Drosophila melanogaster: one gene and its partner. The protein of the gene in region 1 purifies or fractionates together with the protein of each later gene. This does not show direct contact. Each region holds a gene or a part of one and is shown in the gene's direction. Other genes may lie near its edges.

Evidence for each region. The genes of interacting proteins can lie anywhere in the genome.
Region 2: the proteins of srp (region 1) and AhcyL1 purify together in Drosophila melanogaster (affinity purification with mass spectrometry, with the first as the bait; one large-scale study listed by BioGRID). This does not show direct contact.

Annotation. Positions count from the first base shown.
Region 1 is NT_033777.3:15,991,122-15,998,725, forward strand, and holds the start of srp (serpent), read left to right. Parts: upstream 1-3,018; 5' UTR 3,019-3,104; coding exon 3,105-4,603; intron 4,604-7,604. UniProt on the Drosophila melanogaster protein: May function as a transcriptional activator protein and may play a key role in the organogenesis of the fat body. Binds a sequence element (5'-[TA]GATAA-3') found in the larval promoters of all known alcohol dehydrogenase (ADH) genes.
Region 2 is NT_037436.4:2,767,121-2,775,873, reverse strand, and holds AhcyL1 (adenosylhomocysteinase like 1), read left to right. Parts: upstream 1-3,548; 5' UTR 3,549-4,084; coding exon 4,085-4,606; intron 4,607-5,382; coding exon 5,383-5,832; intron 5,833-5,896; coding exon 5,897-6,490; 3' UTR 6,491-7,408; downstream 7,409-8,753. Other genes in the region: Atg2 (Autophagy-related 2), read right to left, coding at 1-1,181; CG12093 (uncharacterized protein), read left to right, coding at 1,972-2,475, 2,570-2,769, 2,828-3,266; Non2 (putative nucleolar protein 2), read right to left, coding at 7,872-8,606. UniProt on the Drosophila melanogaster protein: Might play a role in the regulation of methionine metabolism possibly by binding and inactivating Ahcy.

The DNA of each region.
Region 1 (7,604 bases):
CCTACCGTTATTTGCATGTGTACTCAATGCATTTCGTTTATAGAAGCCCGACTTATCAGACCTAACTAAGCATAACATTGCCAGCTTGGGGTCACAGGCAAAAGAGGGTCAAATCGGATGGGGAGCTCGGCTAGGTAAATACTGAATTAAAGTGTGAGAAAGTCACAAGTGTGTAATAGCTTCTTTATACAAGATCCAGATAGTAAACACGTTTAGTTGACTTTAAACTACAGCTGATCTTTTCTAACTCGCTTTAAAGGAGACTACATGGAATGCATATTTATTTTATTAGTGATCTATGTTGAAACGAACATGTTTAAACATTTTCTGGTTTCAAATGCAATTAATTGGCTAATTTAGGTTCTAGACATGCGCGAATCGCATGCTATATTGAGTTGATCCCCCATGTGACGTCAGTGCCAGTGTTTCAAAGTTGGCATTTAATAATTTCAAGGTTAAAGTTCCATTATGGATCCCAGGCACATGCAGCCAATGAGCTCGAATTGAACATTTCGAAATACTTGTTTTTGCTTTCGTAGTAAAATTGAAATTCGTCCGATTCCGATCGAGAGTGTTGGGCCAACCGAAGGCGAACAGAAAAACATGTGAATAAATTATTTGAAAAATATATAAATATGAATAAATGAGGCGATCGCGGAGAGGCGTCAACCTTAGTCCCCATGTGTCTAGGGAAAGGTCCGGTCTAGTTCCCCACTTCAGCACGACTTCGCAGCGATGCCAAGAACACCTTATCAACATTTTCGATTTTTCGTATATTTAATAACGTACACTTATGTGATTTTAATACCGACAAAGGTTAAGCGATTTATGTCTATGTACGAGTGCGCATGTCGCCTGTATTCGGCGTTCTATGCAGCATTCAAAATCGAATTCGATTCTGGTTCTGGTTTTGGTTTTGGAAGCGAAGCACTTGTGTGTGTCGCCCACTATGTACACCAATTGATCAACGATCGTTAAAATGTTCCCAAAATGTCCAAACAGATCGTTGGTGCCGCCTATTCAAATGACGATAAAAATGCCATAAAAATACCGCCCGAGCCTCCCAAGATCCCACTCGAAAATCGTTTTACGACTCGTCCTGGTTCAAATGTAACAATTTTTTAATCAGCCATTGGAACGGAGCTCAAGTGCATTGTTTTTATGTATTTTGGCGCGACGTCTCGGGAATTTGCATGGGCCAAATGCAGACGGACTCCTGGGGAAAGTCTTTCCCCATCATTTTTCTCACGTTCACTTGTCGCGCCACGAGATTTGTCCTGAAATTCTACACGCGTCTCGGTTGGATTTTAATGTTCTCGTCCTCGCGATAGGCATGAATGTGTCTGGATCTGGATCCTGGAGCCCCAGTCCTATGCGCATGGTAATTTGAAAATTTTGAGAAATTTCATATTGGGTCTCTCAGAAGGCGTTCTGATTTATGCGTAAATTTCACGATTGAATTGAAGAACTAACCGTGAAGAGTATTGAGACGAAAGTAATGGGCTAAAGTGAAGGGAGTTTTTTTTAATTCTGGTATGCTATTATATTTGAAGTTTAATGAAATTATTGGGTTTGCCCAAAACGCAATCAGAACATTTAGCCTTACATATTGAGTACCTTTTATAAATGTATCTTATTTTAATTACTGTTTTAACGTTTTTGATTTTCTTAAAACTATATAAACATATATTTTCTTTGTTTATTTTTATATTCATGTTCATATTCATATACAAAATTTTTAATCTATGCTGTTAATAATTCGAATCCGTACAAATTAGACCGTTGGTATTATGCATATATGTTAATGATTCTGTTTTTGAAAATGTTTACTATATTTTTAATTAAACTTCATTGTTGCTTTATACTTCTACATTTCAAATATTCATTTAAATAGAAATTTTCAGTAAGAAATGTTACATTTTTCAAATTCCTTTAAACTTAGCTTACATTTTAAACGTTTCTTAATATACATGGATTGTTTTTTCATTTAATTTCCAGATTTTGTGTGTACTTTTTTGCGGTCGCTGGTAGTCGACAGTCAACCAACCACAATAACAGCGACCACAACAACACCAATCGAGCAACAGTAGAGGCCGCCCCAGCTACAACAACAACACGTTCCGGCATGGCCTCTACCTCGGCCTGCCCCCACCCACCCCTTCTTCAACTTTCCGCGCCTGTTGTTGCTGCTGATGTAGTGAGAGGCGGAGCAACGCAGCACAAAGCGGAGGCAGTAAGTGCGATAAGGCAGGCATTAGGCGCAAGCACAAGCGAATAGTAAGCGAAGGAAGAGAGGAGCCAAAGAGAGGGATCCACAAAAAGAGAAAGAGTGAGTAGGCGAGTGCGGGAGCGTGGAGCTCGCATCGAATATTTCGAAATATTTAAAGCTGTACACGAGACGAAAATATTCATGTTTTCGAAATGAATTTGATCCTTGTTGAAATCTTGAAAATCTAAAAACTATGTCATAAATTTAGTCATATGTGTATTTAATGTATATTTAATGTGTATATATAATTTATGAAATAAAAGATCTAATTTCCTATTCCGTTTATTAGTCATATTATATTTTTATATTTTATTATATATTTCAATGTATTATTATTATATATTTTATCTTAAGTTTGCTTTATCCAAAGAAATAAATGAATAGATTTACTACATGTTTACTACATTTACTATATGTATTTATTTATTTCTTTAGATAAACCAAACTTAACTTAATAAATAGTGATCTTAGGACAAGGATAGAAATTAAGATGATCGTCATTTTTATTTCTGTGCACCAACATGCGATTACGATTACGAGTGGCGCTCGTGTAACGGCATGTAGAGCAAAGTGCTAAGCAAACGCAACTGTAATCAATGGACAGAGATGGCGAGAGGGAGAGAGGATGCTCGATGAGATTTGTTCTCGATTTGGTTTTCTAAAAAAAACATTTTTAACGAGCTTTATTTTTTCGTGTTGCTTTGCTGTTCCGTATTTCGAAGTTCGAACCGCAAGCCGCTCAAATCAAATCAGTTTCTGTGAAAATCGCGCCGGATACGGACACGTACGTGGATTGCGGCGGAGAATCCGGATAATCGTGTGGAGCGCCGGAATCATGACGAAAACGACAAAGCCCAAGGAGAAGGCAGCGGCGGGAGGGGCGGTTATAGGGTCGGGATCGGGATTGGGTTCGGTGACCAAGGCGGGCGGCGGTAGTCTGCTTTCGAATGCGGCGGACAGTAAGATCCGCACGGCCAAGTCCAACAACAACAAGCGGCAGGCAGGACGAGCGGCGACAGCATTAGCAGCTACAACAACAGCATCAGCCTTAGCGGCAACAACAACAGCGGGAGCAACAGGATCAAATGCAGCAGCGAATGAGACGGAAATAGCGATCGAAACGGAGAACGGAGAAGCAGCGACGCCGACTGCGGCAGCAACGGCCGCCGCAGCGAATTTATCGTCACTTGAGTCCGCTCGCTCGCAGGCTCTCACTTCAGTTGTCAGCGAAACAGCAAGGCAAGCGGTTACCACAGCAAACGCGTCGGCAACATCAACATCAACAGTTACAGCAGCAACAGAAATAGCAACCGCAACAGCAAGCGACACAGCAGCAACATCTGAAGCAGCGATCGATGACGATCCAAGTGCGATAAATACTAACAATAATAATAATAATAGTAAAGCGCAGAACGACGCGAGTGAAAGTGTTAAAACAAAAGTGATAAGCTACCATCAGTCTGAGGATCAACAGCAACAGCAGCAGCAACAAGCCCAGATCTACGAGCAACAGCAACAGTTTCTCAGCCAGCAATTAATAAGCCACCATCAGCAGGAACAGCATCAGCAGGCGCAGCAGCAACAGCATCAGCAGGTGGTGCAGGAGCAACACCAGGCCAGTTGGCTGGCCTATGACCTGACCAGCGGATCAGCGGCAGCAGCAGCGGCGGCAGCGGCAGCAGCATCGCATCCCCACCTCTTCGGGCAGTTCTCCTATCCGCCCAGCCATCATACGCCTACCCAGCTCTACGAGCACTACCCCAGCACGGATCCCATAATGCGGAACAACTTTGCGTTCTACAGCGTCTACACCGGAGGCGGTGGCGGAGTGGGCGTGGGCATGACTAGCCACGAGCATTTGGCAGCGGCGGCGGCAGCGGCAGCAGCAGTGGCCCAGGGCACCACACCCAACATAGACGAGGTCATCCAGGACACGCTGAAGGACGAGTGCTTCGAGGATGGCCACAGCACCGATTACCATGTGCTGACCTCCGTGTCCGATATGCATACGCTAAAGGACTCCAGTCCCTATGCCCTCACCCACGAGCAACTCCACCAGCAGCAGCACCATCACCAGCAGCAACTGCATCACCATCAGCAGCAGCAGCAACAACTTTACCACCAGCAACAGCAGCAGCAGCAGCAGCAACAACATCATCACCACCACAACAACTCCACCAGTTCGGCGGGCGGGGACTCCCCGTCGTCCTCGCACGCACTGTCCACCCTGCAGAGCTTCACCCAGCTGACCAGCGCCACCCAGCGTGATAGCCTCTCGCCGGAGAATGACGCCTACTTTGCGGCCGCCCAGCTCGGCAGCAGCTTGCAGAACAGGTGAGTCTTGCCGCGGAGCACTGTAATGAGCTCACTATCACGAAGCGGGCGAGCGCACGTGCCTTTCGACCGCTTGGCGACACCGTTAAAAGTCATGATCGGAGCTCCGATCAGCGATCAGCGATCACCTAACAGAGAACCGCGCCGGCTGATTCATATTTCTCCCGCCTTGGCGCGATTTGCTCGGGCGGAGTGACGAACCGAACAGAAGCGCCCATTGTGGGTATTGGTTCCAAAGCTCGGACTTCGGTCTCCTCTTTTCCACCGTCTCTCGCAATCCCAAATCCATACCCAAATACAGTCGGTTATGGTTATGGCGTTATGGCATTCCCAGGTGGTTTACTCAATATGCGGAATGCGAAAATCTGTTCCACTTTCATCTAGCCACCAAGTTAGTTCTGCTCCAAGAATGTGTTTCCAGCGGGACAACAAAAACATAAACAAAACACAGTTGTGAAGCCTCCGCAGATGTCTCATATGAGGAGCATTCCACGCATGACGCCCTGCGTGGGAGCAAAGTCAGTGGGGCAGGACTTTTGGTTTAGAAAAGTAGCTTAACGTATAGAAAATTTTTCGACAAAATATTCGTCCTGCCGATCTTAGGAAATTTTATTTAATATTCAAGAATGTTACTTTTACCTTCAGAGATGCTACTTAAAGTTTATTTATATAAAGTTCAGGGATTGATTATTATTTTAACATACTCCATTTAACATAAATCTTGTCATCTTTCCGATTATTTAGGAATATTGTTCGGCTTCTATTAGGAAAACTAACCTTGTCCACGATCAAAGTAAACAATGTGAGACAACAAATAAAGAGGCTTTGCACTTGGCATTTTATAGCGTCGCCTCTGTGAAATCATCTGCAAACTCGAACTCAGCAGAATATACACAAATTGCCGCTCGAATTTCGTAAACAAGAATATGCAATGTCTTAATTATTGACGCATGGCTTGTCTGACTCATGAGTTTTCCCCTTTGGATCCTAGTCCGGGCAGCACCGACTTCCCCACCAGATGCAGGAAATCTAAATGGTTCACTTAGTTTCTTTGTTAGTTTTTCCGACCAGCATGCGTGAGCTAGTGTTGCACGTGTCCAGGTTGCTGCCACATTTGGCCTAAAACCAGCACGTGCCACAGACTGTGGCAAGCTAGCTCCTAAAAGCCAAACAAAAAAGGGGGCGCGACCCGCATTTGATTGAACAGTCGAAACTCGCGGCGACTCTTCAGAGCCAAAACCAAAAAAAAAAAAAACAGTAAAGGCAAATTGCCATTGTAGCGCATTTTTCTAGCTTGTTTTGGGTGCTCGGGTTGCAAGCTCTATTGCTTTCGGTGAGAGGATACCTTTCGAGTGTGTGACTGTTTGGGAGCCGGGGTAACCCAAAGCCATCCCGTGACATAGAAACCCCCGAACGAAACCCAAACTGGAGCCCACAGAAACAGAAACAGCCTCAAATGCTTCGTAAGTGTCTATTTTTTTTTTGTGTTCAGGGCTGCCTCTGCTGACTCAGCAACCCCCAAGTTGCAGTGCACCATGAAGGGTTAAGGAGAGTGGCAAGCGGAGCAGCAGCGTTACGTTAGGTACGGCGGGAAATTATAAATACATCGGTGGGAGGCAGCGGACCCAACGCACCCGCACATTGCCGATCGCGTTTTACTCGACTATTTTCTGGTAATTCGCATCTATACTTTTAGCTTTTTTCGTTTGTTTTCCCTATGTTATTATTTAAATTGAAAACGTGTTTTGCATATGCATATGGAAACAGGCATGAATGCACATTCAGTTGAAGTATATATGAAGTCATGTGAGGAACAGACCAAAATGTTAGATTTTTAGAAGTCAAACATGTTAGAAACGCAATTGGGTGAAATTAGAGTTATGGAAAAGTATCTTTCGTATGACGGAAATATACACTTGTACATATATGTGGTAACATAACGTCATCTGGTGCCGGATGGTGATGGTGACGCTGATGTGGCCAGCACTTCGTATGTGACTTTTTGGCCAGTTTCGCTTTTGTGGCAGTGAGAAACCAGAAGAAGATATCACGCTGCTGGCCAGCTCACATGCCATTTTTGCCATGCATACACACTCATAAGTATGTGAAAAACAAGAAGTCGACGCAAAATACTCACCTGCGACAAACAACAGAAGTGAACCGCGCAGCGGCGATAAAGTTATATCGTTGTCGTGCACTTTTTCTTGTCACTCAGACTTCCTATATATGCAGCTATATATTATAGCTTGGCTGTAGCTGTGGGGCATCTCGGGCTGGAAATACGGTTACCGCTGTTATCAGAGAGCGTGCGCATCTAGCTGCAAGACTTGGTCGTATAAATTCTGGCAACAAAGAGTCAATTATTTGCAAGCCGTTTGTTTGATAATTGAATACATTCATACGCAGATATGCGATTTTTTTCGGTTAACTTTATTCTTTAGTCACTTGATCACATTGTGTGTGTGTGTGTGTGTGTGTGAGTAGTGACTTGGATTACTTTGGGCCAACACTCACGGCAACAACAATAGCAATCACAGTTGCAGCAGCAGCAGCAGCCGCAGCAGCAGCGACAACTGCAACTGCAACTGCATTGGCATAAAACTAAACCCGACTCAAGTCATTATGCAAACGCGCGTGCCCCGATTCGGTTGTGCTTTCTTCTCGGTCGCGGTCTCCGTCTCCATCTCCATCTCCACCTCCATCTCGTCATCCAGAGAACTCGGCCCGAAATAAAACTGAAAACTAAAACACAAATAAATCAAAACGAAAATGAAAACGCCAATGCTGAGCTGAACACTTTCGCGAGTTTCCTTCCATTGCTGCCGTTTGAAAATAAATAGATAGTTGTATTCTTCAACAAAAAGCAAATACTGATTGTGCCGATCAGTTCGATTGAATTTCTAAGAAGGATCCTTCTCTGTCCAGCGCGTAATAAGTGTGCACCTGTGAAAACGAAAGCTCCAAAACTTCGATCCTTGATCCCTAGTCTCTTTGAGATCGT
Region 2 (8,753 bases), on another chromosome or scaffold:
CTCATCTTTCGACTCCGTGCGTAACCGCTCCTCGGGGGATTTCCGTAAACGGAATATTCGGAGGGATCCGCCTCTGACATTCCTGTACACCAGTCTGCATTCTGGCCCAGAATCCCCGTCATCCGGGTGGGCTGCTGCAAACTGTGCATCTGATACTCACTGGGCGGAGCCGATTTCAAGCTTCTGCCCTTTTTGGGTCGCTCCTGCTGACCGCCGCAGTTGAAGCCCTTTGAGAACTCGATGAGCAGGTGAATTTGACGCGGCGTTAGCATGAAGTATATGTCGTCCAGACTCAGTTCTAGGCTGACCTTGGGCCCCACTATATTTTCCGTCTGCTTGATGTTGATCTGGATGTTTTGCGCGCCCTTGAGCTCCACAATCTTGCAGAGCTGCTCGTAGGGAGTGGGTCCAAACTGGTGATCCATCACATCAAGCACTTCGGAGGTGTGCAAACTAAGTCCCTCGATCACCAAATTGTGCTTGGCTATCATGGGCAGTGCATTGAAGCTGCTATTGGGATCTTCTTCGGTTTCAGTGTCCTGGGAGGTGGACATGGGCATCTCGTAGCCCGTCTTGTTCTTATACTCCACATGGCTGGCCTGGAAGGAGAGCACCAGCTTCCGGTCCGATCTGGGCAGTATGTACTCAATGTTCAAAGTAGTATTTGTCAGCTTGGCGCGTATGCGGTTGAGCACGTTGTCGATGGTCTCTGCGAACTTCTCCAACCCAATCAGGGCGTTATTGTGGTTCAGGAAGGGCACATCGTCATCCACCTGCTTCATGCACTCCTCGGCCATTTGCATCGAGCTGCTCACCGACGACCACATGGACTCCAGCATGGTGGTGCCGCTCTGGTAGCGTGTGACTGGCCTCAGTGTGATGGTTAGATTGTGGATCTCCAGGCTACTGTCGTTGGTCATCAGCGCATTCCACGGCACCACGACAGTCAGGCGGCCAATGTGGCCCGAGACCACCTCGAAGGCCCAGCCCTGGTCCTCGAAGAGATCGTTGAAGGCGTTGACCTTTAGGAAAATGTCCTCCACCACAGCCTTGCCATTGTAAAGGTCCACCTTCAGCTGCTCCAGGTTCAAGTTATTCTCGAAAAACTGGCCCAGGTATCGCTGCAGCAGGTAGCGACACATTTTCGTTTTGAGGCCATCCCAGGGATTGAACCACGACATCGCGACTGGGTTGTTGGCCTAACTTTCCACGTTCGCCTTCTTTGTGCGTTTTAAAATTTTATGCGAGTTGTTTTTCCAGCGCAGCAGCAGCGACAGCAACAACAACACCCCTTTGTTATTGTTTTCTGGGTGGCGAATCACGGAAACGGAAGGGAATTGAGGCTTAAATTGTTGATAAGACTCTGGTAAAAACGCTTACCACTCACATTTTTCGATTAGCGGGGGCGCAGAGCGGCTGTGGGCGGGTATATATGTGCATTATTTTGGAAAATAATGAATTAATAAAGCGCAGTAGCAAGTGACCATCAAGTTGGCCCTTGTTCTTCTTCTTTTTGTAGCTGCGACCAGTGTGGCCAGGTGTGGGCACTTCGTAAAATACCCCCTGGTGTGTGCAATGCGGGGGAGCGTTCGCAGGGGGCATTTGAAAATAAAATGATTTATTATTATGAGCCGATTTCTGGTGAGTAATTTGTCATTTAACCTTAGAATCCAGTCTGAATATTTCAAATATACATTGATTTCCTTTTAAATCTGCTTGATTTAAGTAGTCATTTTAAATTAACTTTATTTACTTTAATTTGGCGTAAATAATTTTAATTTAGTTATTAAAACAACACATAATTATCATCGGAGATTTATGCAAACTCCAAACAACCTGTTGCTACCCTGCAACAAAGTCATGCTTTGACCAGTGTTGAAAAACGCAGCTCCACAGCTGTTTTGCCAAGTTCTTAATTATATTTTTGTTTGCTTATTTTGCGCTTTTGTTTTTCTTTTGCTTGCAATTATTATGTTTATTTGGCATTACTTGACCCTCTTGTGCCTTGGGTTCGCCCTCATCGATGCGAAATCCATCAAGAAGTCGCAGGCCAATCTGTTGGAGCCAACTCTTGATCCTGATGAGAAGCTAGGGAAGATTGGGAAGTCCCCACCCGACATTTCCAATGATGTGCAACGTGTGCAGGTTCCATTAGGTGCGACGCCCGGCAAGAATGGCTGGCAGGGCAAGTGGTTTCCCCATGCCCCTGGACAACAGCAGGAAGCGATTGAATTAAAAATGAAGAGCACCACGGAGGAAGTTCCTCCGCTGGAGTTCACAACCAAGGATGGCTGGCAGGGCAAGTGGTTTCCACAAGCTCCCGGAGAGCCGCACTTGGTGAAGAAAAAACCGCTGGTCGATAACAAAACCAAGTCGGGGAAGTCCACCACACAGGATACTTGGCAGGGTAAATTGTTTCCGCAGGGTCCCAATGAATCGCACAAGACTAAACAAAGCAGCTGTGATGATGGCAAGGTGAGTTTGGCAATATAACTAATACTTCCCCTAAATACCGATGAATGCTTAGTATTAGTCATCTTTTTCTATCATTGTTATTAACAATTTTCAGAGCAATCTTGCCGTGGACTTCGATCCAAACGACATCCGTGACAGCCTGAATTTCCTATGCATCAGTAGTAATCACAGCTTGTACCAACCGGATTTGTCCAGAGAAGCCATTCTTACGGAGCACTTTCTACCTAGCGCCTATCTGCCGCCTGCCAAGTGCCTTAATGAGTCCATTAGCTACTCCCATCTGCCTGCCACCAAGTAAGGCGAACAATATTATAGTTTCCTGCTAATTTCAAATTCAAATCTGTATTATCAGTGGCCCCTATCGCCCGATGCCCGCTGAATATGGCACCTATTCCTACTTGCCTCCTCAGCGATACGTGCGTAATCTGGCGGAAGGTGCCATCGTAATGCTCTACCATCCCTGCGCTTTTCCCGGCCAAGTGAAGCAGCTGCAAGACATCGTGGGTGGCTGTCTGTATCGCCATCTGGTGTCACCCTCGCTGGCTCTGAGTCCGCAGCGACCGCTGGCCCTGCTCGCCTGGAGTCGCAGCCTCGAGATGTCCGTCGTGGATCGACAACTGGCGGCGGACTTCATCCAGAAACACGCCAAGCAAGGACCACTTGCACCGGAGGAATTGTCGCGTTTGATTGTCAAGAGACAGACCTACAAGGAGGGCCTTCTTAGGGAAGCGCACTTGGTCAACACGGCGGACGACTACGAGCTGTGCGGCTACCTACAGGAGGATATGTAGGCCAAATGTGTTAACTATTTGTTTTTAATAAACCTCGAATACTTTGCCAATTTCTTTTTGACTCATTAAATTATCCAGCTACCAGATTTAAAAGACTTGCAGCTGAGGAGTTGTAAATCACACTTTATTTACTTTGCTCATTAAAAAATAAACACATAATTAATGGTAAGAAATTATAAAAATTAATTTTTAGACGATTTCAGTTAAAAAGTCGTTACTTTGGCCTTTCTTCAGTGGGAACTTACCACACTTGCAGAATAGCACTAACGCCTTCTGCTTTTGGTATTTTCGCGTGTCTCGCTTACTGTCCTCGGTTCGGTTTAGTTCTCTTTTCTCCGGATAAAATCAAATTCAATAAGCGATCGCCAAACGATCCCCCACTTGGTCGCCACACAAACAACGTCGCCCGAAAGCCGACGGCTGCATCATCATCCCCTCTCCGGAAACTCCCATCAAGCCCCGGATCCAAAGTGTAGCCCCCCATTCGCAAAAGAAGAAGAAGAACAAAAACAATAGTGGAGAGGTGAAACAAAGGAGACTCGCACTAAAAACAATTAATTTAGCAATTTGTGGTCTCCACAACGTCGATAAATCACGTGATTGTGCAGTTCGTATAGACCCAGGCCACACCACTAGCCATTTGCAGCGCATCCTGCTTGGATTTCAGACTTTACATAACATCCAAGGCGCCCATTCAAAGGAGCAGCGGAAAAGGATTGCAAGCTCTGGAGTCGCAGAAGGTGGAACACTAGGAGCTAGAGCAAGGAGCCAATTTAAGGGATAGTAAGGAAATCCCCAGATTACCCTCTACTTCCACCATGAACAACCTGGCAGACACTGTGGTAGTTGATCCTGGATTCGGAGGCGGCGACAAGCAGCAGCAGGCTGGACCGGCGCCGCAGGATGCCAGCGTGGTGGTTCCTCCGCCGGCCACCAAGCAGTCCTCGGCTCTGAAGAAGACAAGTCGGTACAGGAGCCGCTCGCTTAGTGCCTCCTCAACGGATTCCTTCAGCTCCGCCAGCTACACGGGCAGCAGCGAGGATGGCGACGACGTGCCGCCCAGGGAGAAGGTCCAAAAGAACTCCAAAGGCAGCTCCGATTTCTGTGTAAGGAACATAGGCGCCCAGCATGCATTTGGGCGCAGGGAGATCGAGATTGCGGAGCAGGAGATGCCGGGCATCATAGCGCTGAAGAAGCGGGCGGCCGAGGACAAGCCTCTGAAGGATGCCAAGATCGTGGGTTGCACACACATCAACGCCCAGACTGCCGTGCTCATCGAGACGCTGGTGGAACTGGGCGCCAGCGTGCGCTGGGCCGCCTGCAACATCTACTCCACGCAGGTGAGATGTCGTATGAAAATGTCATAGGGTTCTTACGTATTCATAGGCTGCTTAATGCATTTAATGGAATCTCTTAAGAGATATCTTAACTCATTTTCCTATATTTATTTAAATTCATATGCATATGCGTGCTCGGTCACTTGATCTGCTCGGTCGCTTGGAGACAATTGTTGTCACGCCAGGCGACGCAAACAAATGATCAATCAAGCCATGTTAATCAATTAAGCGCCCGCGGCTCAAGTGTTTGGCAATCGCTGAGTAATTGATGTGCCCTGAATTGGGTCGCCATACCATTGGGAGTGGAAGTTACGGACGCAGTTTTAGTTCCAGCATTGGATCGGCTGCGGTTACTCGATCTGTTTGCCTATTCCTGCGGCGTGGCTGATGCAATTATCACGAGTCTGCTGACGCTAAACAATTTATGGCTTCTCTAATGAAGCGATGCGAGTGCGAGGGCGAGCGCCCTTCCCCGATCATTTATGCACCCATCCGTGCCAGCTTTTATCGCCCACGGCCCCCGACAGCCTGTCACGCTGATTCACCTGTATCGGCTGGGACTTATCAGCCAAGCTACGAGTGCCGTGCTTAGCGAGAATGGAGCCCGATGCGTTATCAGCTCGATATAAGTCAGATATTAGCAAATGTTTACGCCGCATTAGGGTGACTCGATTTATCAGGCCAACTCTCGAGGGTTTTACCTGTTTGACAATCATTTTATTAGCCTTCAAGGACTGTCATTATTAAAACAACTCAATATCGTTGCTTATTATTTTTAGAACGAAGTGGCTGCTGCTTTGGCCGAATCCGGAATCCCGATCTTTGCCTGGCGCGGCGAGACGGAAGAGGACTTCTGGTGGTGCATAGATCGCTGCGTTAACGCCGAGAACTGGCAGCCAAACATGATCCTGGACGATGGCGGCGATGCCACGCACTTGATGCTAAAAAAGTACCCGACCATGTTCAAGTTGGTCAAGGGAATCGTCGAGGAGAGCGTCACCGGAGTGCACCGTCTCTATCAGCTCTCTAAGGCCGGCAAGCTGACAGTGCCGGCGATGAATGTCAACGATTCGGTGACAAAGACCAAATTTGACAACCTCTACAGCTGCAAGGAATCCATCCTGGACAGCCTCAAGCGCTCCACGGACGTGATGTTCGGTGGCAAGCAGGTCGTGGTCTGTGGCTACGGCGATGTGGGCAAGGGATGTGCTCAGGCTCTAAAGGGGCAGGTAAATGGCACCCACAACCATTAGTATGATATACCTTTGTCACCTTTTCAATCTCCAATCGTAGGGCTGCATTGTGTACATCACAGAGATCGATCCCATTTGCGCCCTGCAGGCCAGTATGGATGGCTTCCGTGTGGTCAAGCTGAACGAGGTGATCCGCAACGTAGACATTGTGGTGACGGCGACCGGCAACAAGAACGTGGTGGTGCGCGAGCACATGGACAAGATGAAGAGTGGCTGCATCGTATGCAACATGGGCCACTCGAACACGGAAATCGATGTGAATGGCCTGCGCACACCGGACTTGACCTGGGAGAAGGTGCGCTCCCAGGTGGATCACATTATCTGGCCGGAGGGCAAGTACATCATTCTTCTGGCCGAGGGCAGGCTGGTCAATCTGAGCTGCTCCAGCATCCCCTCGTTCGCCGTGTCTATCACCTCGGCCACCCAGGCCCTGGCCCTGATCGAGCTTTTCAATGCCCCGCCCGGACGCTACAAGTCGGATGTCTACTTGCTGCCCAAGAAGATGGACGAGTATGTTGCCAGCCTGCACCTGCCCACCTTCGATGCCCATTTGACGGAGCTGAGCGACGAGCAGGCCAAGTACATGGGACTGAACAAGGCCGGTCCTTTCAAGCCCAACTACTACCGCTACTAGGACGCAAGGCGGGCGGATGCGGACAATAACACCAGCAATTAGAAGAAACAACAACGCCAACGAAAGTATTGTCTTTGCGAAGAAGTAAAACTATTTAAAACAATTGTTGACACACACACACACGGAAAACACAAAAGGATACGGAAAGGAGAACACAAAGTTACTATTACCATTGTATTGCTTAGTTTAGCTCGAGCGGAATTCTTGGTTGCTTTTCGTTAGCATTTAAAGTCTTCGACATAGTATTTAGCACTCGCTTTAGCCGCAGGAGTATTCTCTCCGTTCACCTATCCAACATGACTCTCTAATCCCCAAAACTAATCTTGCCCCAAGAATTTATCCCCATCAACATTTTTTGTAGCCAGTTACTTGAATTTATTTTAAATACTTCGAACGCCTGTCAATCAGACTGCAGTAGCTCAAAAGACGCGATTAGTTCTCTAAATGTATACTTCTAATTCGGAATTGATAATATATTTAATGGGAATTGACTTGTATAATGGTTTCTAGCATATTTGCATTACATTTCTATAACTTTTTCGCGTGAAATCCATGTACATTTTAATGTTAACGACTTTCCTGACTAATCCCTTTTTTGAGCTACGACAGCTGGGCAATAAGTGATCGATTTAACCTCTCGTATTGTTTACGTACTTAATTTGTTAATGTTTATGGCCCCCGCTTATGATTATGATTATACTTTTGTACTTTCGTTTCGTCCCGAGAGCGTTAATGGAACAGCAGTGCAAGGTATTCCATTTATTCAATTATATACACGCTGGCATATATATCAGATCGAGAATTATATATATATATACACTGCATATACACCTAATATGTATATTAGAAAAAGTGAAAAATGTTTGTAAGAAATTTGTGAGAAACGCAAAACAATAAAAAAGGGATTCTTTATTGAGCAATTAGATCTGTTCCACTGATTGATTTCTCCCCCAGCAGCCCCGTCGAAATGAAAACCAGGAAAAGTTGCTTTCGTATTTTTCAGATGCATCACTCGTCTATTTCTCTTTTTATTACTCGGTACTTGCCTTAAACTTGTTATGTTTTTCTTTGATATTTTATAAAATGTAAACTACACGAGTTTGTCATAAAAAAAATCATACACATTATGTATTATAATCGATTTTTTTTTTGTAATTTTCCGTTCATCTGAACTATTCCTAAAATGCCGTAAAGTGCATAATGTGCAAACCCGTCCTAATTAGGGTAATGCTAAACACATGCGTCAACTAAATCTTAATCAAAGGTTGTGGAACAAACAAATCCAGGCGGAGCCGAAAGTTACAGGGGATTGGTAAACCAGGCTGGCGGAGAGGCATACACATATATTTGCATCTGGAGAGGATCGGAGGGCGGATCTGATCTAATCGAGAAAGTGCGGCTTGAGATGCTTCAGCATGCCAAAGGTGCGGAAGCGGCGGATCTTCATCACCTTCATCAGCTCGTCGTCGCAAATGGCGAACTGCTTGTTCTTGGGGTCGTACAAATCGCGCTCCTTGATGATGGCCCACACCTTCTTCACGACTTCGTGGCGCGGCAGGGAGGACTCTCCCATGAGGGCGCTCAGTTCCGGTGATAGATTGTATGCGCGTGTGAAGCCGGTGCTCTTACGTCCCGATCCTGTTCCCCCGGCCGCCTTGGCCTTCTTCTTGGCCGCCGGCTTCTTGACCACCTCGTAGTCCGAGTCCGAGCCGGCATCGCTCTCGGTGCCGGAATCGTCGGCATTTAGGGTCTTGCGCTTCTTCTTGGGCGCCTTGTGCTTCGTGGGCTGTGGCCTCTTCTTGGGGCTCTGCTTCTTCTTCTTGGCGGCCTCCTCCTCGCTGCTGCTGGGGTCCTCCTCCTCGCTGGGCTCGCTCTCATCGTCGGGATCGGCATCGGGATCCTTGCCCTCGTCATCGTCTTCGTCCTCCTCGTCCTGCTGCTCGTTGATCACCTCCATCACGATCTTGTCGAACTCCTTCTTGCGGCTCAGCAACGAGCAGTTCAGCTTTCCCTCCACCTGCTCGCGCACCCTCTTTGCCGAAATGGTCGCCAAATCGGCGTCCTTCAGAACCGCCTGAATTTCACGACGCAGGTCCTCGCTGGAGATGTCCGACATCTTGGTTCGTGGTGTTCCTCGTTTTCCTGCGCTACACGTAGGGGTTTCAGCCTGCGGGTCACATTGTGGGCATTTTCAGTTATTCCATTGTACGCACAACCTAATCCCAGTCATTTTCAACTTACCGGAGATCCGTTTTCGGTGGTA